Elephas maximus indicus: one gene and its partners. The protein of the gene in region 1 binds, or shares a complex with, the protein of each later gene. Links are inferred from orthologs where the notes say so. Each region holds a gene or a part of one and is shown on either strand. Other genes may lie near its edges.

The links.
Region 2: the proteins of PDZK1 (region 1) and AKAP10 are in contact, whole or in part, in a crystal structure (PDB 3TMH), measured with the Homo sapiens proteins. The link is inferred for Elephas maximus indicus from reciprocal best matches to the Homo sapiens genes PDZK1 and AKAP10. Residues at the interface, in NP_001188254.1 of Homo sapiens: Asn386, Gly387, Tyr388, Gly389, Phe390, His391, Leu392, Asn393, Ala394, Ile395, Arg396, Phe402, Lys404, Tyr436, Glu437, Val440, Ile443, Gln444; in NP_009133.2 of Homo sapiens: Pro655, Leu656, Glu657, Lys658, Ser659, Thr660, Lys661, Leu662.
Region 3: the proteins of PDZK1 (region 1) and SLC15A2 are in contact, whole or in part, in a crystal structure (PDB 6EZI), measured with the Homo sapiens proteins. The link is inferred for Elephas maximus indicus from reciprocal best matches to the Homo sapiens genes PDZK1 and SLC15A2. Residues at the interface, in NP_001188254.1 of Homo sapiens: Asn386, Gly387, Tyr388, Gly389, Phe390, His391, Leu392, Asn393, Ala394, Ile395, Arg396, Gln407, Tyr436, Glu437, Val440, Ile443, Gln444; in NP_066568.3 of Homo sapiens: Glu723, Thr724, Lys725, Lys726, Thr727, Lys728, Leu729.

What each region holds. Positions count from the first base shown.
Region 1 is NC_064821.1:157,858,677-157,865,948, reverse strand, and holds the start of PDZK1 (Na(+)/H(+) exchange regulatory cofactor NHE-RF3), read right to left. Parts: upstream 3,050-7,272; 5' UTR 2,888-3,049; intron 2,690-2,887; 5' UTR 2,609-2,689; intron 1,994-2,608; exon of another isoform or gene 1,989-1,993; 5' UTR 1,912-1,988; intron 1-1,911. UniProt on the Homo sapiens protein: A scaffold protein that connects plasma membrane proteins and regulatory components, regulating their surface expression in epithelial cells apical domains.
Region 2 is NC_064820.1:212,340,430-212,348,048, forward strand, and holds the start of AKAP10 (A-kinase anchor protein 10, mitochondrial), read left to right. Parts: upstream 1-4,524; 5' UTR 4,525-4,657; coding exon 4,658-4,745; intron 4,746-7,619. UniProt on the Homo sapiens protein: Differentially targeted protein that binds to type I and II regulatory subunits of protein kinase A and anchors them to the mitochondria or the plasma membrane.
Region 3 is NC_064819.1:12,437,861-12,445,691, forward strand, and holds the start of SLC15A2 (solute carrier family 15 member 2), read left to right. Parts: upstream 1-4,738; 5' UTR 4,739-4,785; coding exon 4,786-4,923; intron 4,924-7,058; coding exon 7,059-7,146; intron 7,147-7,737; coding exon 7,738-7,831. UniProt on the Homo sapiens protein: Proton-coupled amino-acid transporter that transports oligopeptides of 2 to 4 amino acids with a preference for dipeptides. Transports neutral and anionic dipeptides with a proton to peptide stoichiometry of 2:1 or 3:1.

The DNA of each region.
Region 1 (7,272 bases):
TGGTGGGATGGAAGAGGGAGGCCAATTTAGAAAGCCCTTCCTGGGGCGTTGGCATTTGAATTCATACCCAAATGATAAGAAAATAGTCATGTAAAGATCTGAGGAAGGGGGAGACCATTTCAGAGTTTGTGGTCCCAGGAAGCTGTAAAAGCTAGTGTGGGAAAACAGAGGGCTGAGGCTTTGAATATTCCTTGGCACTGCATATACCTGCTCTAGGAACACAACCAGTAAGACCACCAGGGCTAACACCCCCAGCCCTGCAATGAAGATATTCTCTAGAAATGGGGCAGCTTCAGGAGGCTAATGACTACCCTAGCTTCAAAGCTCCAGCATCTATCACATCCTTGGTGACCTGGAAAACCCGTTAGCGATCATCTAGTTTCAACTAGGAAATAGAGGTTTGTGGAGCCCTGGTGAAACAGTGGTTAAAAGCTATGGCTACTAACCAAAAGGTTGACAGTTTGAATCTACCAGCTGCTCCTTGGAAACCCTGTGGGGCAGTTCTACTCTGTCCTATAGGGTCACTATGAGTCGGAATCGACTCGAGGGCAATGGGTTTGATTTGGGGTTTTAAATAGAGTTTCAATGAGATTAAAAAACCTGACTGCAAGGCTGTTTCTTCCCACTATTCCACAGAGCTTTTGGATACACACATTGTAACATAAGTACCTTACACTTTTGTGTTTAGTCTCCTAAATGCATTCATATTTTTATAATTTTTGGTACAGCCCTGGGGCAACAATGAGGTCTTCATTTGACAGATGGTGACATCAAGGCTCACTTTGGCCAAGTGACTTTTCACTAACAACTAAATCAAAACCCAGTTCTTCCCCCAGCCCTGCATCCTCTCCCCTTGATGATACATAGCTGCCTAGCAAGTTGGCTATGAATGTAAGCCATCGTTACTAACTACTTCATATTTTATGATACAAAGAACATATGAAAATGTCAAAGATAAGAACAATTCACTTAGTCATTAAAACATAAACTCAAAGTCCTTGAGTTAGTTGCTGCAAGAAGAACATATGACTCCAGGTGACCAGACAGTTGTGGCCTGAGACACTCAGCCCTGTGACTTCTGGATACAGGACTGAGCATGTTGATGCTGTATGGCAGGGACTGTAAACTAGAAGGAATGTGTTCCTCTTGTGAGGCCAACCCAGACTGTCTCCACGGTGAACCACTAGGTGAAGGTTACTTAAGTCCCTTGATTCTTCTGCTTAGGAAATAATCTCCTATTGGTCCCCAAACCTGCCTACATATTACAATCACCTGGGAAATCTTAAAAAAAGAAGAACTTCAGACTATACAAGACCTGAAGAATTAGAATCTCCAAAGGGTAGAAACTGGAGTTCTACATTCTCAAATTCAACTACCCTAGAAACCCACTGATTTTCCTCATTGTTTTGTGCTATAATGTGATAAAAAAAATAAATTTAAAAAAAAGAGATGCCCATTTCTGTTACCTGATGAGATAAAGTTAACTTACATTCTGTCTTTTACAAAGAGCTTCTGGAAGACAATCTCAAATACCTAAACCCCCTTAATAGTGGAGAAGGTCTTGGAGTTAACTTCCTCATGACCTGTGACGTCTCCCTTTGGCTGAACATCAAATCCCCATACGACCCTGGGAAAGTTTTCTCTGAGGATCAGTTCCACAAACTGCTTTGTCGGGCAGCCCCTGACCTGCAAGGGTCAGGGGTCCATCACGCAAGAGAATTTCAAACGTGCACACACCCCCTGCTTCCCCACCCAGGGGCCTGGCCAATGACAACTTGCCCATGGGCCTCTCTCCTATCCTAGAAAGCCAGCTGCTTGCTTGGAAAAGAAAAAAAGAAGAGAAAGACAGTGGTCCAGGGCCAGGTGGCTGGTACCCTCAGTCAGGGGGACGCAAGAGTCAGAAGTTCTTACCTGAATCCAGGAAAGAGAGGAGCTGTTCCGTTCACTCAGGAACTCTCTCTGTTGATGAGCACTAGTCTTGGAACTTGCTGAACTTTGAACAAAGATCGATTTAAAAGTTGATGTATTTAACAGGGACTTGTAGTCTGACCTCTGTTCTGCTTCCTGCCAGCTGGCTAGGCCCTGAGCTGGGCAAGCCTGGAAAACTCCAGCAAACTCAAAAAACTTAGGCCCACCTGCCTAACTGCCTGGGGATGCTGCTCCTTGCCTGCCCTTCCCAAAGACCAGGACAGAGAAAAGAAGGGAAGACAACCAGGGAGGAAGTACCTCTGCCTTCCTGAGTTCCCTCCCTTAGGCAAATGCCTAGGTCACAGCCAACCAACACTCAACAAACACCTAGTCCCCTTAGGCATTTCCATTGTCCCCAAGCAAAGGTCGCTGCTGAGCCAGGCTGCCATCGCCGGAGCATCCTTACACACCAAGGCCTCCCTGGGGAGCAGCAGCCTGTGCAGTCCCCACCCATGGCCCCAGTAGAAGGCTAACAGGCCATTAAGCCCAAGTGGATAGGGCAAGATGGACTCCCACCCTGAGAGTTCTTACTCGCATAGTCCCTGGGAGTTCACCCTTCAAAGCCCCTGTTCTTCCCCAAGCTCCCTTCCTTTTATACCCTTTCTCCCGTGCATTTTTTTTTTTTTTTAATCTCTCTCACCTGAGAGTGCTCTGTTTTCAATCTCCAAGCTAATGACAGTTGTATTCACTTCTTGTGTCTCAGGCAAACATGTCTGGGTAGCTGGAAGGCATTTTCAAAAGCTCCTCAGCCCTGCTGCCTGGGCAGTGGGGTGGTGCTCTCCTGCACTGCCCCAGCCCCAGCCCCAGCCCCAGCCCCAGCCCCAGCCCCAGCCCCAGCCCCAGCCCCAGCCAGGACCAGCAGCTGATCCCTGTTAGCAGCACCCACACTGGTGAATCTACCACCAAGTTTCTCACTGACCTGCATCCTCAGCCCACACTGGAAATAAGGGCAAGAGATTGCTCCAGGCAATGAGACAAAACAAACCGCGGCCGAGGACCGGGTGGCCTCACCCTTTCTCCACCCACGCCGGAAAGGCCTCTTGCTGTCACTGTGCCTTGGCTTTGCCCCCAACAAAGCCATGGCCGGAGTCAGTTGGTAAATGGTTGAAAATGACAAATACCTGAGTAGCTTCCGCATACCAGTTATTTTCCACCTGAAGCGTGCCCTCTGGGCCTTCTGCATATCTTCCAAAGCAGCAAGGTATAATGGGAAAATCAGGATTTAGCACCAGAACACCTGGGTTCAAATTCGGCCTCTGCCACTTCGCAGGTGTTTAATCTAGGCTAATTTAATTCGCTGAGTCTCACTTTCATCATCTGTGAATAGTTGTTGTTATATTGTTGTTAGAAATGTGGTCTTTATTTTGAGTCAAAATTTCTCTCACCTCTACCTATAAATCCTAATAGTTCCTTCTGGAGCTCTACATCCTAAATCTAGTCTTTATTCTACACAGCAGTCCTTCAGGTATTTGAAGGCAACTATATCCCTCTTTTATATCCCCCATGGAAACCCTGGTGGCATAGTGGTTAAGTGCTGTGGCTGCTAACCTAAAGGTCGACAGTTCAAATCTCCCAGGCACTCCTTGGAAACTCTATAGGGCAGTTCTACTCTGTCCTATAGGGTTGTTATGAGTCAGAATCAACTCGACAGCAATGGGTTTGGTTTTGGTTTTGGATATCCCCCACAGGAGCCCTGGAGGCACAGCGGTTAAGAGCTTGGCTGCTAACGAAAAAGTTGGCTGTTCAAATCCACCAGCTACTCCTTGGAAACCCTATGGAGCAGTTCTACTCTGTCCTACAGGGTCGCTATGAGTCAGAAACAACTCGAGGGCAACAAGTTTGGATATTTTGGTTTCTATCCCCCATAAGTCTTCTCTGAGACTCTGAGAGATTCATTGAATGCCCCTCATTCCATAAGGCCTATAGAATATTCCATATGGCTTAAGCCTATGTGATAACTTCAAGACTTCTTATCACCCTGGACGCCCAGCTGATTTGTCAGTGTCCCTCTTAAAATCTAGGGCCTAAAGTGAAAACTTTTTAAGGTGAGGGAATGAAACTTTATTGAGTGTTGGGAGTGGCAACATGTCTCCAGTTACCAAAATTCATCAAGCTATGGGTATACAGCTAAAATAGCTGGATTATATTGCATGTAAAAATACCTTTTTTTCTTTTTTTAAGGAGCATAAGTCAGTAAAATTGATTCTGAAAACATCTATTTAAATTAAAAAAAAGCAGTTCTCACATGAAGCACTCATTCATCTCCCAATCAACAAGATTCTCAGACTTGCCTTCTATCCCAGCACAGCTGGAACAAATAGCCACAACATTTCAGGCTTCCATTTATATATATATACACACACACATACATATGTATATACACATACATATGTATATACATACAATATACATATATATATATACCCACAGGGACCAAAAACCAAAAAACTAAACCCATTGCCATCAAGTCAATTCCAACTCATAGTGACCCTATGGGACGTAGTAGAACTGCCCCATAGAGTTTCCAAGGAGCACCTGGTGGATTATGAACTGCCAACCGCTTGGTTAGCAGCTGTAGCCCTTAACCACTATACCACCAGGGTGTGTATTTGTTTTGTTGACTACATCCCAAGTGCCTAGAATATAAGCCTTTTCAAAAAATGTTGTCAAATGAATTAATCAAATAAATAAATGAATGAAACTCCTTTTGCCAACAGGGCTGGTTTTTCTTCCACCTTTTCACTGAGAATGTAGTTTTTGAGGGTGTCACCTCTATGCAGGGTCTCAGTTCCTAGCTTTTATCTCCTGTTGCAAAGTGACCCTGTGAACACAAACCGGTTACCACTTTTCCATTTCCTCTTCATTCTGGATCTTAGAGATTTATTTTCCATTTCTTCCAAGTTCAACTATCTATTTGACAAAATGCTTGATGTATTTTCCACAGTATTTCTGTGAACTTTATTAGGAGGGTTTTCAGTTGATTTAAAAAAAATAGTAGTTCTACAATTTAGTAGTTACTTTGCATCCCAACCTCCAGCTTTCTTATCTGTATAATAAAAATAATACTGCAATCTCATAGGGTTGGTCAGAGAATTAACAAGACATTTGTAGAGTGCCCAGAACCTGGTAAATGCTTGGTGCATAGAAACATTATTATTCTCATTTTTTGAAGGAATCAGTCCTCTTAATTTATGGGCACACATTATACAAACAGGCCAATGAAAATAAATGAGCTAGAAGTACACAATGGGCAACTTGGGAGTTTGGGATGTTTGGAACAGTAATGTATGGCGCTCCTGCCTGCTCACAACACACCATTTGGTGCAACTGGTCAGAAACAGAAAATTAGAAATACTTCCCAAGACTTCTCAATCTTTTTCCCATCATGCCACACATAGAAAATGATAGTAGTTGTATAGCACACTAGAGTAAATAGACGTGTTTGTTCAACGCTGGAAAGACCTGCCTGAGACCAGGAACTCTGAGCTCTGCCCAGACTCTCCAAAGGTTGAGGGGACCAATATTTTTGGCATACTTGTAGAAAACTATTAAAAAACATCACCAAAAGCAATTAAAGAAAATCCAATGAAGATTATACCATATTCATGGATTGGAAGACTCAATACTGTAAAGATGTCAATTCTCTTCAAAACGATTGTTTACAGATTAATGTAATTCCAAACAAACTTCCCATAGGCTTTGTTTTTTTTGTTGATGGAGCTTCATAAGCTAGTTCTGAAAACAAAATAGTAAGGAAGGAGTTGCTGTAGTGGATCTCAAGATGGTAGAGTGACAATAACTACTTTAATATAGTACTGGCACAAGATGGACAAATGGACCAATGGAATAGCTTAGAAAGCCCAGAAACACAGTCATACATATATGATTTATATCGATTTATGACAAAGAACAGAGGGAAAGAATGGCCTTTTTCAATAAATGGTTCAGGGTTTGCATCTGGCTTATTTTATTCAGCATGATGTTTATGAGATTCATCCATGTTGCTATATGGAGCTGTAGTTCATTTGTTTTCATTCTATGATTCCATTTATGTCATCTCCAAATCAGAACTTCTGGGGTGCCTGTTTAGGTGGTCACTCACTACACTGACTTTTGGGATGCTGGCAAGATTCTAGTTCTTGAGTTGACTGGTAGTCGCACAGGTGGTTGTGATAAATTATTGAGCTATGCATTTTCATTCATGTATTTTCTGTGTACCATATCTGACAATGAGGTTAAGAAATTCAAAAACTTAAAAATTACGGTGTATGTCTAGATAACAGAGTAAACAGAAGAAGTTTTTCAAGGCTGGAAGTGACCTACCTGAGGGTTTCAGTTGCCCTCGGCCCTGCCCAGACTATTCAAAACCCAAAGGGAGCATTATCTTGGCATTCCCATAACCCACCTGTGGCACACCTGAGCACCCTGGTCAGGAAATTTTGATCTTACCACTTCAATTTTCTTACTCTGAAAAAGGATTCAGAGAGATGAATTGACTTAACTTAGGTCTCCAAAAGTTCATAGCAGGGACAGGGCTAAGACCCTGAGCTTTTGCTTCCAAGGTCAATGCCCTTTCTACTACACCATTCTGCCTGGCTTCCTGGGGACCATCTGGATGTTCTTATGTACAAGATTCCAGGCTTCACCCTTTGCATTTGGGCTCCATCCCTGATACTCTTGAATTTTTATCCCAATTTCAGATCTGATTGCTTCAGTGTTACCCTGTCTTTTTGGTAGCTCATTAACTCACAAAAACCAGTGCCGTCGACTCAGAGCCTGGCATTTTTAGCTCCAGTGGTTTTCTGTCCCTGTCCTGAGTCAATGTTTATGGCAATCTCCCCTTTCTACCCCCTCCCCCACCATGCTACTCTGGCCTCATCCACCGTCTGAAGAAACAGCCTGTGCAGTCTGCATACCTCTGGAGGAATTTATTAGGTCAGAGTCCAGGTGCAGGACTGCAATGAATGTTTTACAGCAGTGCACAGTGATGGGTGGGAGGAAAGGCAGCCACTTTGCTTTACAGGCATTGTGGCCCCACAAGATAGCAGATCTCAACTTTCTAGTGTTTTCAGCAACCTGGTGTCAGGTCAGGGGAGGCCAAAGGACCTTGGAGAGCTGTGAATTATTAACACTTGTAGCTGACTGCAAAGGATATTTTAGTGGTCATTTCTTCTCCCAGCTGAGGGTTCAGAATGCACAATCCTTTTCTACCAAAAGAAAAATTGAGGCCCAGAGCAAGAACATGCCCTGTTCTGGGTTCCCACGTGTGCAAAGGTCTGGGCATTCTTGTAGTGGATTAAAAGT
Region 2 (7,619 bases), on another chromosome or scaffold:
CTAAGACTGACTCCTAGAGTTGTTAAACCAAAACCCAAACCCAGTGCTGTCAAGTTGATTGGATTCCAACTCATAGTAACCCTATCCCAAAAAAAACCCAGTTTACTGTCTTATAGTAACCCTATAAGACACAGTAAAACCGCCTCATAGGGTTTCCAAGGAGCAGCTGGTGGATTCGAACTACAGACCTTTTAGTTAGCAGCTGAGCTCTTAACCACTGCACCACCAGGGCTCTCCTAGGGCTATTACAAGGGTTAAACTGCAGAGTTTAGCAGAGAACCTGCACGTAGTAAGTTTCAGTAAATATCAACACATCTTACATGCATTTGCAAATGAACCCCAACAAAAATAGACAAATCTATTAACCTGCTCTAGTATTATGGTGAAAAGTTCCTGGGTTCTAGTTCTAGTTTCAACACTGACATACTGAATAATCTCAAGCAAGTTGTCTCCTCTTTTTGAACCTCAGTTTCCTCATTCTTCACATGATTAAAAAATCCAGCCAACATCAACACCCATTCATGACAAAAACCCTCAGAAAAATAGGAATAGAAGGAAAATTCCTGAACATAATAAAGGGCATTTACACAAAGCCAACAGCCCACATCATCATAAATGGAGAGAGTCTGAAAGCATTCCCCTTGAGAAGGAGAACCAAAAAGGAATGCCCTTTATCACCACTCTTATTCAACATTCTGCTGGAGGTCCTAGCCACAGCAATTAGGCTACATAAAGAAATAATGGGCATCCAGATCGGCAAGGAAGAGGTAAAAGTATCTCTATTTGCAGATGACACGATCTTACACACAAAAACCCTAAAGAATCCTCAAGAAAACTACTGAAACTAACAGAAGAGTTCAGCATAGTATTGGGATACAAGATAAACACATAAAAATCAGTTGGATTCCTCTACACTAACAAAAGGAATATCAAAGAGGAAATCACCAAATCAATACAATTAACAGTAGCCCCCAAGAAGATAAAATACTTAAGAATAAATCTTACCAGAGATGTAAAAGACTTACACCAAAAAAACTAAAAAACACTTCTGCAAGAAACCAAGAGAGACCTGTGTAAGTGGAAAAACGTACCTAGCTCATGGATAGGAAAATTTAACATTGTCAAAACGTCTCTTCTACAAAAAGCCATTTATAGATACAATGCAATTCCAATCCAAATTCCAACGACATTTTTTAATGAGATGGAGAAACAAATCACCAACTTCATATGAAAGGGAAAGACACCCCGGATAAGTAAAGCATTCCCGAAAAAAGAAGAACAAAATGGGAGGCCTCACTCTACCTGACTTTAGGACCTATTACACTGCCACAACAGTCAAAACAGCCTGGTACTGGTACAACAACAGATACATAGATCAATGGAACAGAATTGAAAATCCAGACATAAATCAATCCACATATAAGCAGCTGATATTTGAAAAAGGCCCAAAGTCAGTTAAATGGGCAAAAGACCATCTTTTTAACAAATGGTGCTGGCATAAGTGGATATCCATCTGCAGAAAAATGAAACAAGACCCATACCTCACTCCATGCACAAAAACAAACTCAAAATGAATCAAAGACCTAAATATGAAATCTAAAATGATAAAGATTATGGAAGAAAAAATAGGGACAATGTTAGGAGCCCTAATACGTGACAGAAACAGTATACAAAACATCACTAACAATGTAGAAGTGAAACTAGATAACTGGGAGCTCCTAAAAATCAAACACCTATACTCATCCAAAGACTTCACCAAAAGCGTAAAAAGGCTACCTACAGACTGGGAAAAAGTTTTTAGCTATGACATTTCTGATCAGCTTCTGATCTCTAAAATCTACATGATACAACAAAAACAACTACAAAAAGACAAATAACCCAGTTAAAAAATGGGCAAAAGATATCAACAGACACTTCACTAAAGACGACATGCAGGTAGCTAGCAGATACATGAGGAAATGCTCACAATCATTACCATTAGAGAAATGCAAATCAAAACTACAATGAGATTTCATCTCACTCCAACAAGGCTGGCATTAATCCAAAAAGCACAGAATAATAAATGTTGGAGAGGTTGTTGAGAGACTGAACACTTATACACTGCTGGTGGGAATGTAAAATGGTACGACCACCTTGGAAATCGATTTGGAGCTTAAAAAGCTAGAAACAGAACTACCATATGATCCAGCAATCCCACTCCTTAGAATACATTCTAGAGAAATAACAGCCTTTACAGGAACAGATATGTGCACATCCATGTCCACTGCAGCACTATGTACAATAGCAAAAAGATGGAAGCAACCAAGGTGCCCATCAACAGATGAATGGATCAATAAACTACGGTATATATATTTTTTATATTTACACAATGGAACACTACGTATCGATAAAGAACAGCAAAGAATCTGTGAAACGTATCATAACGTGGAGGAATCCGGAAGGCATTATGCTGAGTGAAATTTGTGAGTTGTAGAAGGACAAATATTGTATAAAACCACTATTATAAGAGCTCGAGAAATAGTTTAAACTGAGAAGAAAATATTCTTTCATGGTTACGAGAGGGGGAAGGGAGGGAGGGAGGGAGGGGGTATTCGCTAGATAGCAGATAAGAACTACTTTAGATGAACGGAAAGACAACACACAATACAGGAGAGGTCAGCACAACTGGACTAAACCAAAAGCAAAGTTTCCTGAATAAACTGAATGCATTGAAGGCCAGTGTAACAGGCACAGGGGTTTGGGGATCATGGTCTCGGTATATCTAAGCAATGGGCATAATAAAATATATTAAGAAAACATTCTGCATCCCACTTTGGAGAGTGGCATCTGGGTCTTAAATGTAGTAAGCAGCCATCTAAAATGCATCAATGGGTCTCAACCCTCCTGGAGCAAAGGTGAATGAAGAACACCAAAGACACAAGGTAATTATGAGCCCAAGAGACAGAAAGGGCCACATAAACCAGAGACTACATCAGCCCGAGACCAGAAGAACTAGGTGGTGCCTGGCTACAACAGATGACTACCCTGACAAGGAACAACAGAGAAACCCTGAGGGAGAAGAGCAGTGGGATGCAGACCCTAAATTCTCATTAAAAAACCACACTTAATCATCTGACTGAGACTAGAAGAACCCCAGAGACAGAACTTCTGTTAGCCCAAGACAGGAACCATTCCCAAAGCCAACTCTTCAGACAGGGATTGGACTGGACAACAGGATAGAAAATGAGGCTAGCGAAGAAAGAGCTTCTTGGATCAAGTAGACGCATGAGACTATGTTGGCATCTCCTACCTGGAGAAGATATGAGAGGGCAGAGGCGTCAGAAGCTGGCTGAATGGACTCAAAAAGAGAGAGTGGAAGTAAGGAGTGTGCTGTCCCATTAGAGGAAGAGCAATTAGGAGTACACAGCAAGGTGTATGGAAACCCTGGTGGCGCAGTGGTTAAGTGCTGCGACTGCTAACCAAAGGGTCGACAGCTCGAATTCACCAGGCACTCCTTGGCAACTCTATGGGGCGATTCTACTCTGTCCTATAGGGTCACTGTGAGTTGGAATTGACTCAACGGCACTGGGTTTGGTTTTCGGCGGGTTAGCAAGGTGTATAAAAATTTTTGTATGAGAGACTGACTTCATTTGTAAACTTTCACTTAAAGCACAATAAAAACTAAAAAAAAATCGAGCCAACACTTACTGAGCTTCTACTACCAGACACACTATCTTCCTGGCTCCCTCCCTGGCAGGAGCTAAGGGCTACAAACAGTGACCTATTCTACTTGGCAGAGTGCACTCAAGAGAGTGGTGACAGATACTAAAGGGGTGGAGGCTTGATTTCACTGCTACAGGAATAGAGTGAGGGTCCGAAGATTCACAGGGAAAATGACATTTGAAGAAGACTTGAAGGATGATTCACTGGCGCTTGCCTTTCAAATTCCAGCATTCGCAGAGATCACCTTATGAAAATAAGCCCACTTCTCTTTTCTCATTTCCGAGGTCACTGTGACAAAAGAATTCACCGGAGCTGCATGAAGCAGTTCACGTCTCCTATTCCCCACCAAGATTCTCGCACACATCGAAGCCCCTTAAGAGAGGAGGGGCTGGAGGTGCACGCTGAAGCCAGTCCATGCCGGCCAGCGTCTAATTTTAGAAAATCTCAAACGGAAAAACACTGAGGGGTTAAGCTGAGCGTAGCACTGGTGGCCCAGCCTCTAGAAGAGCGCTCCAAGAGCCGCGCGTTATCTCGAAGGACCGGGGAGCTCCGGGAAGGATCCTGCTCCAGGAGGATTCCTTTGCAAAGATGGGGTCTACAGCGTAGGAGCCATTATCTACACTACCGGCAGCGTAGCAGAGCTGACGATGCCGACTGCTTCAACATCCACACTCCGGGAGATGGGCGCAGGTCGCACTCCCGCAAGGTCACGTGAGCGACGCGGACACGTGCCTGCACCCTGGAGAGAGTCGCAGGCGGGGCCGGCCGCCCAGCCTCCCGTGAAGCCTCGCGCGGGGAAGGACCGGAACTCCGGGTGGGCGGCTTGTTGATAATATGGCGGCAGGCACTGCCCAGGCATCTCTAGGAGGCAGTAGGGCCCACACCCGGAAGAAGGGTTTGTTTTCGGGCTAGTGCGGCGGCTGAGGCAGACCCGGAAGTCCGGGCCAGTTGCTGAATGAGGGGAGCCGGGCCCTCCCCGCGACAGTCCCCCCGGGCCCTCCGCCCTGACCCGGGCCCCGCCATGTCCTTCTTCCGGCGGAAAGGTAGCTGAGGGGCGCCGCCGAGGCGGCGGGGGGCGGGGGGCGGAGGGCGAAGGGGGAAGGGGGAAAGGGGCGGTGGGCCTAGTAGGGCTTCTCTCCGCTGTGGCTGCGAAACTCTTACTGAGCCGCTCGACCTCCGTGCAAAGACCCCTTGCTCTGCTCCGGGAATTTGCTGGGAGGGAGAAAGTGGCCTCCTCGTGCGTGGTCAGAGAGAAATTGTCGCGCTGCTACAAGAGTGTTGCTGTAACCCGTGGAAGTTAATACCTGCTTGCGTAAAGGCAGCTTTTCGGTTTATTTGCGTAATATGCCTCAAAAAAAAGAAAATATGTTTAGTACTTTGTTACAGGAAGTCTCTGATATTTCAGAATACTGAGGGTTTTGTTTTTAAAGGCAACGCGTGAAAAATTTTTTTCAACTAGTGCTATTTTCCAGTTTCGTATTTTCTGGGGGGAGAGGGCGGGAGGACTACTGCTGTTTCTAAAATAACATTACTTAGCTTATGCTAAAAGTTCGCTAATAAAGAGGACTACTTCTTTTGATGATTTAGCATGTTTATTAACCACTGGAAACCTAACTTTATAAAAAACTACGTATATATCTGATTTTCAGTTGTAGTAACTGCCCACATTCTAAGTAGAGACAGCTTGGTTCTTGATCCTGGGTAAAAAAAAAAAAAAAGTTGTATTTCATTAAAATTACATTTCCAAAGTGAACAAGTGTGAGTCTCTTTTGATGGTAGTGTCTCTGTGTCAATTCTTGCTTCAGAGAAAGTGTACCGCGCATAGGTGGGTTTTGGAAAAAGCACTAAACTAAATCAAGGACTTGGGTGCACATGATAGCTCTACTACTAACTGTAAAAAAAAAAACCACTGCTTGGTAAAATTCCTTAACTACTCTCAACTGAAAATGAGGTGATTCTAAGGCTCCATTCAATTCTTGACTAAGCAAATTAAAGAATTTCCGTATGTTTTTGGGGTTTTAGTAACTGATGCCAGGTGATAAACAGTGGTGAATGAATGAAATTGGTAAAATAGCATAAGGAAGCTTTTTTGTTAAGGTAATTGCTCTCATTTGAGAGTGTCGAAGTGATGAGTTTTTGTTTTTGTTTTTTTAAAGGGGATAAAAGCATTCTAAGTATTAAAATAAAAAAAAAAAACCCAAGTATAGTGAAGCAAATTGCAATTTAACGCAACAGATTGTTGTCTCTATACAACACTTACTGAGTGCCATCTATCTGCCAGGCACTGTGCTAAGCCCTCACGATTGAGCAATGAACAAAACAAAGTCTCTGCACTAATGGAGGTTATTGTCTGCTTGGATAGACAGACAATAAACAAACAAAACTTTGTATTTACACACGTATGTTGTTGTTAGATGCCCTCCAGTTGGTTCCGATTCATAACGAGCCTATTTATAACAAAACAAAACACTGCCGGGTCCTGCAATACCCTCACAATAATTGCTGTGTTTGAGCCTGTTGTTGCAGTATTCTTTGCCAACACCGTAATTCAAATGTGTCAGTTCTTTGGCCTTTATTATTGTCCAGCTTTCTCATGAGTGTGAGGTGATTGAAAATACCAGGCTTGGGTCAGGCACATCTTAGGTCAGAATGTTCAAAGTGACATATTTGTTTTTCAACACTTTGAAGAGGACTTTCGCAGCAGATTTGCCAAATGCGATACAAAATTTGATTTCTTGACTGCTGCTTCCATGGGTGTTGATTGTGGATCCAAGAAAGTGAAATCCTTGACAATTTCAGTACTTTCTCCGTTTATCATGACGTTGCATATTGGGCCAGTTGTGAGGATTTCTGTTTTCTTTATGTTGTGGTGTAATTGATAATGAAGGCTGTAACCTTTGGTCATCATTGGTAAGTGCTTCCAAGACAGATTTGTTTGTTCTTCTGGTAGTCCATGGTATATTCAATATTCTTCCCCAACACCGTAATTCAAACACACCAGTCCTTCAGTCTTTCTTACTCATTGTTTAGCTTTCGCATGCCTATGAGGCAGTTGAAAATGTCATGGCTTGGGTCAGGCATGCCTTATTCCTCAAAATGACATCTTTGCCTTTTAGCACTTTAAAAAGTTCTTTTGCAGCAGATTTGCCCAGTGCTATAGATTGTTTGGAAACCCTGGTGGCGTAGTGGTTAAGTGCTACGGCTGCTAACCAAAGGGTTGGCAGTTCAGATCTGCCAGGCGCTCCTTGGAAACTCTATGGAGCAGTTCTGCCCTGTCCTGTAGGGTCGCTATGAGTCAGAATCGACTCGATGGCACTGGGTTTGGTTTTTTGGATTCGTATAGGTCGGTTGGAGCCCTGGTTACACAGTGGTTAAGGCTTGCCTGCTAACCAAAAGGTTGGCAGTTTGATTCCATCAGCCACTTCTTGGAAACCCTATGGGGCAGTTCTACTCTGTCCTGTAGGGTCGCTATGAGTCGGAATTCACTCGATGGCAACAAGTTTTGTTTTGCTTTTTGATACTGTGATGGTTAAGATTGTGTGTCAACTTGGCTAGGCCATGATTCTCAGTGTTTTGGCAGTCATGTGATGTGGTCACTTCACTTTTGAGATTTGATATGTGAACACCCCCATGAGGGGATCTGCTGTGAATAGCCAATCGGTTGAAGGGGAGTTTCCTTGGGTGTGTGGGCAGACCTTCTGAGAGGGCTCGGGAGCTTTTGTTCATCCTGGATCCTGCAGCTGGCTCCTGTTCGTCTGACCTCTGGTTCTTGGGTCTCGAGCTTGCAGCTTACCTGCAGTCTTGCTGGCTGATCTTGGGATTCATTGATCTTCACAGCCTGTGAGCAAGAGCCCTGCTCTCTGATCTGCTGATCTTGGGTTTGCCAGCCCCTGCGACTGAGTGGATCAAGAGAAGCC
Region 3 (7,831 bases), on another chromosome or scaffold:
GCAATATCAGTCTCTAAATGATCTTGAAATTTATGTGGAAAAATAAATGCCCAAATAAGAGAAAGAATAGTGAGCAGACTTGCCTTATCAGATGCCAGAACATATTCTATATATTCAAAGCCACTATAATCAAATAATTGACACAGGAATAAATAGATCAATGAAACAAAATATAAAATTCTCATATATATTGGGAGAGATTCAATAGATCCCAATATATATGAGATTTTAATATACAACAAGGTAAGACTTCAATTATAATGGAAAAGATTGAGTTCTTTATAAATGGTGCTGGCATAACTGACTATCCATTGAAACAAAAGAATATTAGAACTCTGTTTTACATAAAGCTTATGGCCCTCAAAGACTAGAGACTGAAATATTTACTCTCTGGCCCTTTACAGAAGACCCTTTACATTTTTACAGAAAACGTATGCCAATCCCTGTTATACACTATAGGTGTAACATAGGAGTAGAAGAGACCTTTTTAACCAAGATAGGGCACTTGAAACTGTAAGAAACAAAACAAAACAAAAACCAAGGATACATTTGACCCAGTACATTATTTGCAAATGACAGGACTGTGTGCATAAAAAATCTAAATAATCTCAAACTTTTAAAATAAGTAAGTTCATATATGTGCATGTATACCCAAAACGAAATCAACCCCACTGCCGGCGAGTCTATTCCAACTCATAGCGACCCTATAGGACAGAGTAGAACTGCCCCACAGAGTTTCCAAGGAGCGCCTGGTGGATTCCAACTGCCGGCTTTTTGGTTAGCAGCTGTAGCACTACGCCATCAAGGTTTCCACATGTGTGTGTATACCTAGGTATGTATGTGTATATATATATATATATGTATTACGAATATGTGTGTAGGCCTGCTGGTGCAACAGTTAAGTACGCGGTAGCTAGCTGTAAGTTTGGTGGTTCAAATCCACCCAGTGGCTCTTGGGGAGAAAGACCTGGCAATCTGCCTCATGTAAAGATTAAAAAAAAAAGATTACAGCCTAGAAAACCCTATGAGGCAGCTCTGCTCTGTCACATGGAGTCTCTATGAGTTGAAATTGACTTGATGGCACCTAACAGCAGCATATGTATGGAGGGAGAGAGACCTAGAAACATACAGGGAAGGTGGTTCTGGGAAATGTAGCTCCTAGCTTAAACTAAGTTGACAATAGCACAACCTTAAAACTGGAAATATCCCAAATGGTCATCAACAGAAGAATGGGTAAGTAAATTGTGACTTATATAGTGAACGCTACCAAACAGTGGAGAAAAACATATACTACTACAGGCAGCAACATGGATAGATCTCACACACATAATGTTGAGTAATAGAAATCAAGCACAAAGAATACAAAAGGTATTATTCCATTTATATAAAGTTTCCAAACAGGCAAAACACATTTATGCTGATAGCGATCAGAATAGTGATTACCTTGGGGAAGGGGGGTTTGTCTGGGAGGCAGAAGGGAAGCAACAGGTATTGCTCTCTGAAGGGTACCTCAAGGTGTACCTCATAAGCTAAACTATACTTACAGTGCTTAAGAAAATACCTCCTGTGGAGAGGGTGTGGTTGGCAAAAAAAAAAAAATGTATAATGGCATGTGCTGTTTTTGTAAAAATACAGTATATGTTAAAACAAAAATTAACAGATTCCCTGTATTTCTGAATTCAGTGCCTTTCAATATCCCAACTTTCTTATATTTCCATTGCATAGGACTTCCAGCATTGAGGTGCCAGAAATGTTGTATATATTATTTGAGTGGTGGTTGTATGAGTTATATGTATGTGTTATATTTATACTGTGTGAGTTATATGTATGTCAAAGCTGTATGCTTAAGATCTATGTGCTTTACTATGTTGTATTTAACTTTAAAAATCCATAAATAAAATCAATAGGAAATCTTTGCCACAAAGAGGCATTAATATCAATAATACACAAATAGCTCTTAGAAATTTACAAGAAGGGGACAAACAACTCAGTAGAAAAATGGGCAAAAGGCATGAACAGGAAGTTCTAAACATTACAAAAAAATACTTTTGGCTCAGCAGTTTCACTTCTAAAAATATATTCTACAGATACATTTGTCTTATATGCCAGTTATTGGAGAATTGTGTAGAATAGCAAAAAACTCTAGAGCTAGTTAAATGAACTGAATTTATATCCATATATTTCTTTGGGGTCCATATTTGGAAGCAAGTTGTTAGGTCATAGACTATGAGTATATACAGTTTTGGTAGAAGTTGCCCAGCAATTTCCCAGACTGGTTATACCAATTTGCACTTCCACCAGCAATGTATGAGAATTACAGTTGCTTTAACATTTTCACCAACACTAGATAGTGTCTTTTTTTTTAAGTCATTCTGGTGGTTCTATAGTGGTATCACATTAATTCTTTCAATTTTCATTTCCCTAATGACTAATAAAGTTGATAACCAGCTCACAGATTTATTGGCCATTTCGATATCTTCTTTTGTGAAATATCGTTTCAAATTTTTTGATAATTTTTTACTTGATTATCCACCTTTTTGTTATGGATTTTTAGAGTTATTTATATAGTCTGAACACAAATCCTTTGCCAGATGTGTGCGATACGAATGATTTCTCTCATTCTGTGAGTTGTGTTTTCACTGTTAATGGTGTCTTCTGATGAACTAGTTAACTTACTAGTAAATTCTGAGCATTTTGTTTTGCATACGGAATCATTAACCAAATTATGTCAGAAAGAGTAATATTTCCTGGGACAATAACTACAGTTTAATCATTAATGTCACAGTCAGAAAAGACGCCTGTCTCTTTTTGGTAAAGTTTGGTGGGAGAGCAGGGGAAATGAGAACTGTAATAGAGAAGCTGAGAGACTTGGTCAAAGTCTGACATAAAGTTCAGGGAGGAAAGCATAGTTTATCCCAGCCTTGTGTCAATAAATTACTCAGATAGGTAGTCTGAGAACTTTGCGAGGGGATAGGATCCTGGATTCTCTGTTTCTCCCTAGTATTTTCAAACAAAATAATCCTTTCTTGTGTTGCCTGACTTCTTTGGGTTGGTCCTCATTTTTCTTTCCTTATTTCTTTCATAGTTCTCTGACCATTGGTTTCCCTTTTCTTTTGACTAACCACTAGAAGGGCACTGTGATCTTTTGTTCTTCTTTTACCTCTCAGCAAAAAGAATACAATATGACATGTATTTGTCACACCATGCCTGTTCTTATTTCTCCTCTGATGGGGACTATGTACTATATTCTGGAGTTATTGGGGAATCTAGCCACTAAAAATTAAGGAAATCATGTTTGCAACAGTACCTAGAAAGAAATTGCTTCACATCATTGGCTCAAATTAATTATTTTATCTTATTTATTTATGGTTTTTAGGGAAAGGATGGTTTCATCTCAAAGTGAGAATGAAAATACAGGGAATGACTTTAGCAAAAAACAATGACTCCCAAACATACATCACCAACCTATTTCTCTTGTTTTCTTTAGTCCTACCTCTTTAATTGCTTATAGTATATTTCTGGCTGAACTTTATTACCCTACTTTTAAGCAAACGAGGAGCACACATGTTACTTTTGTTTGTCCTCCTCCCACCCCCACTAGGTGTACCTCATAAGCTAAACTATGATTATAGCGCTTAAAATACCTCCTGGGTAGAGGGTGTGGTTGGCAAAAAAAAATGTTTAACGGCATGTGCTATTTATGTAAAAATGTGGTATATGTTACAAGAAAAATTAACATACTTCCTATATCTCTAAATTCAAGGCATCTCAATATCCCAGCTTCCTTATATTTCCATTGCATAGCCGCCATCCTAATGGAGATCCTTAAGCCTGCATACCTAAATCATGGCCATAGGCATTACTGATACTAATCTCTACCTTTTATGTCTGTTTGTCATGACATAGTGGAAATTCCAGATCTGTGGCTTGCTAGCCATGTGACTTTGGGCAAATTAACCTTTTAGAACTTGAGTTTCTGCAAAATGGGGATAGCTGTAAGAAGTAGAGAGGGTCCCTAGGTGGTAGAAATGATTAAGGCACTTCACAGCTAACTGAAAGGTAGGAGGTTCAAGTCCTCAGAGGTGCCCAGGAAGCAAGGGCTGGTGAGCTACTTACAGAAAATCAGCCATTGAATACCGTATTGAGCACAGTACTACTCTGATACACATGAAGTTGCCATTGAGTCAGAATTGACTCAATGGCAACTTTTTTTCTTTTTGGTAGTAAGAATTAGAATATACAAAAATATATATTATCTAGATCGTATATGTAATTCATGTATATATACTCATAATGACTCATAACGACCCTATAGGACAGAGTAGAACTGCCCCCATAGGGTTTCCAAGGAGCAGCTAGTGGATCTGAACTGCCGCCGACCTTTTGGCTGGCAGCTGAATCACTATGCCACCAGGGCTCCCTAGCATATAATAGGTATTCAATAAATGACAGTTACTGTTACCCTGAAATCAAGTGTTTAATCTTGCTTGAGGTATCGCATGCTTAATTAGGACTCATTTGTAGGAAATATTTCTTAAACATTCTGTTCCTTATCAATTCTCTAGCACCTTCTCCTTGCTCTCACCTTTTACATAATCATTCTTTGGAACAGGTCTCTAACCCTCAACCTTTCTTTTCCTATAGCTTCGGGCTCTGTTCTGAGCCAGCTGCTGAAGCCAACACCCACAGGGTTAAACCTAGTTGCTGAAGCCACCTCCCCCTCCTGCTGCCAGTTCCCCTTCTTACAGAAGGCTGGCAGCTGACCCAACTGCCTCCCTGAGCCAAATGGCTCAGGAGAGAGAGAGTAAAGAGACAGCCATGAATCCCTTCCAGATAAATGTGTCCAAGGAAATTCTTTTTTCACCTGTGTCCGCTGAAGAGGTATCACCTGGACCTCCAGACCCTCCAGAGAAGTCACCTCCGGTGAGTCCCCAGATTCAGTTCTCACTCTAACAGGATTAGCCTTGTTCTTTGAGCTTTCCTGATTGGCCTCTAGAGCCCCAGCCTAAGCTGAATTAGGATATAGAAATGATTCTTGCCTAGGGTTAGAATTAGGAACCTGGTGGTGCTCTGGTTAAGCCATTGACTGGTAATCGGATTTGAACCCACAGTTCCGCGGGAGAAAGAGATGGCAATCTGCTTCGCTAAAGATTTACAGCCTTGGAAACTCTATAGGGCAGTTCTGCTCTGTCCTACAGGGTTGCTATGAGTCAGAATCCACACAAGGGCAACATCTTTTTTTTTTTTTTTAAGAGTTAGAATTAATGTAAAAAACCAAGTCTGAACTGAAGCTACCTTTACTTAGAGAGGGAGGAAGCAGCAGGAAGAGGTAGTCAGAGTTCTTCAGCTGGGACCCAGGGTTTTGCTGTAGTTCATTGTATATTCTGAGTTTTGTTTCCCTGAGGGGAAAAAACACAGCCATTTGAATGTCCAGGGAAACTTGGCAGGCATGCCTGTCTGGAGAACTGTGTGTGATTGTTCTTGTTTTACCAAATAAAAAAACTTAGCCTGTAGTTCTCCCTGTGTGCGGGGCTTATGTAGAGCACCCAGAGAAGTTTTAGAATAGACTCAGTCTCTCCTACAATGCCTTCCTAGTTGACAGTGGGAGGTAAGGCAAAGAAACAAAGAAATAATCATAAAGTTTTGCATCATATACTTGTTAAAACACTTCCAAATTTGTTATCTCATTCAGTCCTCCTATCAAAATCCTGTGAGAGGAGAGGATATAATAATAAAAAAAAAAAAAAAAAAAAGATTTATTGAGTTCTTACTATGGGCCAAGAAGTGGTGTAATTCACATTTCTTTGGAATAACAGAACTGAGACATAAGGCACTTGCAGTGTACCGACCCGTATTAGTATGTTAAACACAGCTAGTGCCAGTGTTAGCTGGCTAGTGACAGCGTGTTAACTGAACTGCAGGTAACATAACTCTCAAGCTGTGAGCTGGGAAGTTGAAAATCCTAGTTCATCGTGTCTTTCATGCAAAATATTATCATGCATTAACATATATTAATACTTAGGGGCATTATTTGTATGTATATATATGAGCAAATGAATAAATATATTAATTTGTTTTGTCTAGTTTTATCTTTTATGGCCCCGAAGGATTTTAGGCTGCTTACAAAGATGTACACATTTATCATGCACTAAGAAAAGAACCAGAGACAGTGTAAATGTCATGATAAGATTTGACTGTCCCAAGGGCAGACCTCCCCACCACCCGCCCCCCTCAGGTTAGTTGGGCTATCGTAGTGGATAGAGGGACTCGTAATAAAACATGGCATTCCTTATATTCTGGCTTGTATACTACATGAAATAGACTAGTCCTTTTAATGTCCAGTAGGATTATCCTGAAAATGTTATAATATCACTTTGGCAGGAAGAGTGGACATTTAGTTTTATAGGATTTAAGGCTTGACACAACAGCTTTTTTTTTTTTTTTTTTTTTTAAAGAATCCTCTGCCCAAAGTCAACGCGATCTATCAGCTTCCCTTTAGGATTTTTGCCTTCCGTGTTGGGCTCTGTGCCTGGCTCCAACAGCCCCTGCATTGGAAATCATTATATTGCCAGGACTTCTCCCATCATGGTAAAGAAGGCACTCTATATGTGTCAAGTGAGGAATAGAGGGGCCAGTCTCCACAGAGAAACTAGGCAGAATACTGATATCTGAATCTAACTGCGTGGACATCAGGCATTCCACAGACCACCTCTTCATCCTGTTCATTGAAATACGGCTGATTATTCTTCTGGCCAGAGCTCCCAACTTTTCATTTACTAGCTATGGGAAAGTAAGCAGGTCCTGTATCTAGGGCCAAGGAATGTCTGAGCAGTTCTATTTTAAATGAATGAGGAACAAAGTAATATTCAGACTTGCTTCTTTTACTCCTAAATCAGCAATTCAAACACTTGTTAGTGTGATAAAAACCGTTTCATAAAGAATTCCCACAATACCTATCAATGAGATAGGAAAAAATGAATTTTGCTATTGAGGAACAATCTAGTGGCTAAAGTAGGGAAAACGACTCATGCCTGAATCATTGCCTTTTTGTTTCATAGAAATTCTGTGGCACCAACTATCCACTGAGCATTGCCTTCATTGTGGTGAATGAATTCTGCGAACGCTTTTCCTATTATGGCATGAAAGGTATCTTGGTGTCCCAGTGTCCTGCGTTTCTCCACTCACCCCCTCTTACAACAGTCCAGCCTCCTTGAAGGGGCTTATTTCTCTTACCTACTCTTCCCACCTTAGTCCACGCTGGTCCCTTTGGCCAAGATTTCCAGTACATGCCTCATGGAATTCACCTAGTAACTCCTACAGGCCAAGAACAGAAGGGTCTGATAGAAACCAGAACATGGTCTGTGAGGATGTAAGTGGGAAAGCTCTTGTCATCCGAGTCCCATTCTTCATACATCTTCCTCAGGCTTTTGAACCATATTGCTGTTGAGAAAGAAAAGAAAGGGGTGTTGGAAACACCATGTTATCTTCAAGGTTGGTCTAGATGCTGCTATGAGTGTACATAGACTTGAGGAAGAAGTATTGAATTTGTACACTCAGCATAGCTCCATTCAATGCCATAGCTCCATAGACCCTGCTGCTATTTTCCGCCCCACTCATATCACTGATAGGAGGGCTGAAGGCCAAGATTACCTTCAAAGACCAGAGATCAAATACATTCCTCCTTCAAAAATCGCTTTAATGCATCTACCTTGTTTGTCTCCCTTTTTTCCATCTCAGCTGTGCTGACCCTGTATTTCTTGTATTTCCTCCACTGGGATGAAGATACCTCCACATCTGTCTACCATGCCTTCAGCAGCCTCTGTTATTTCAC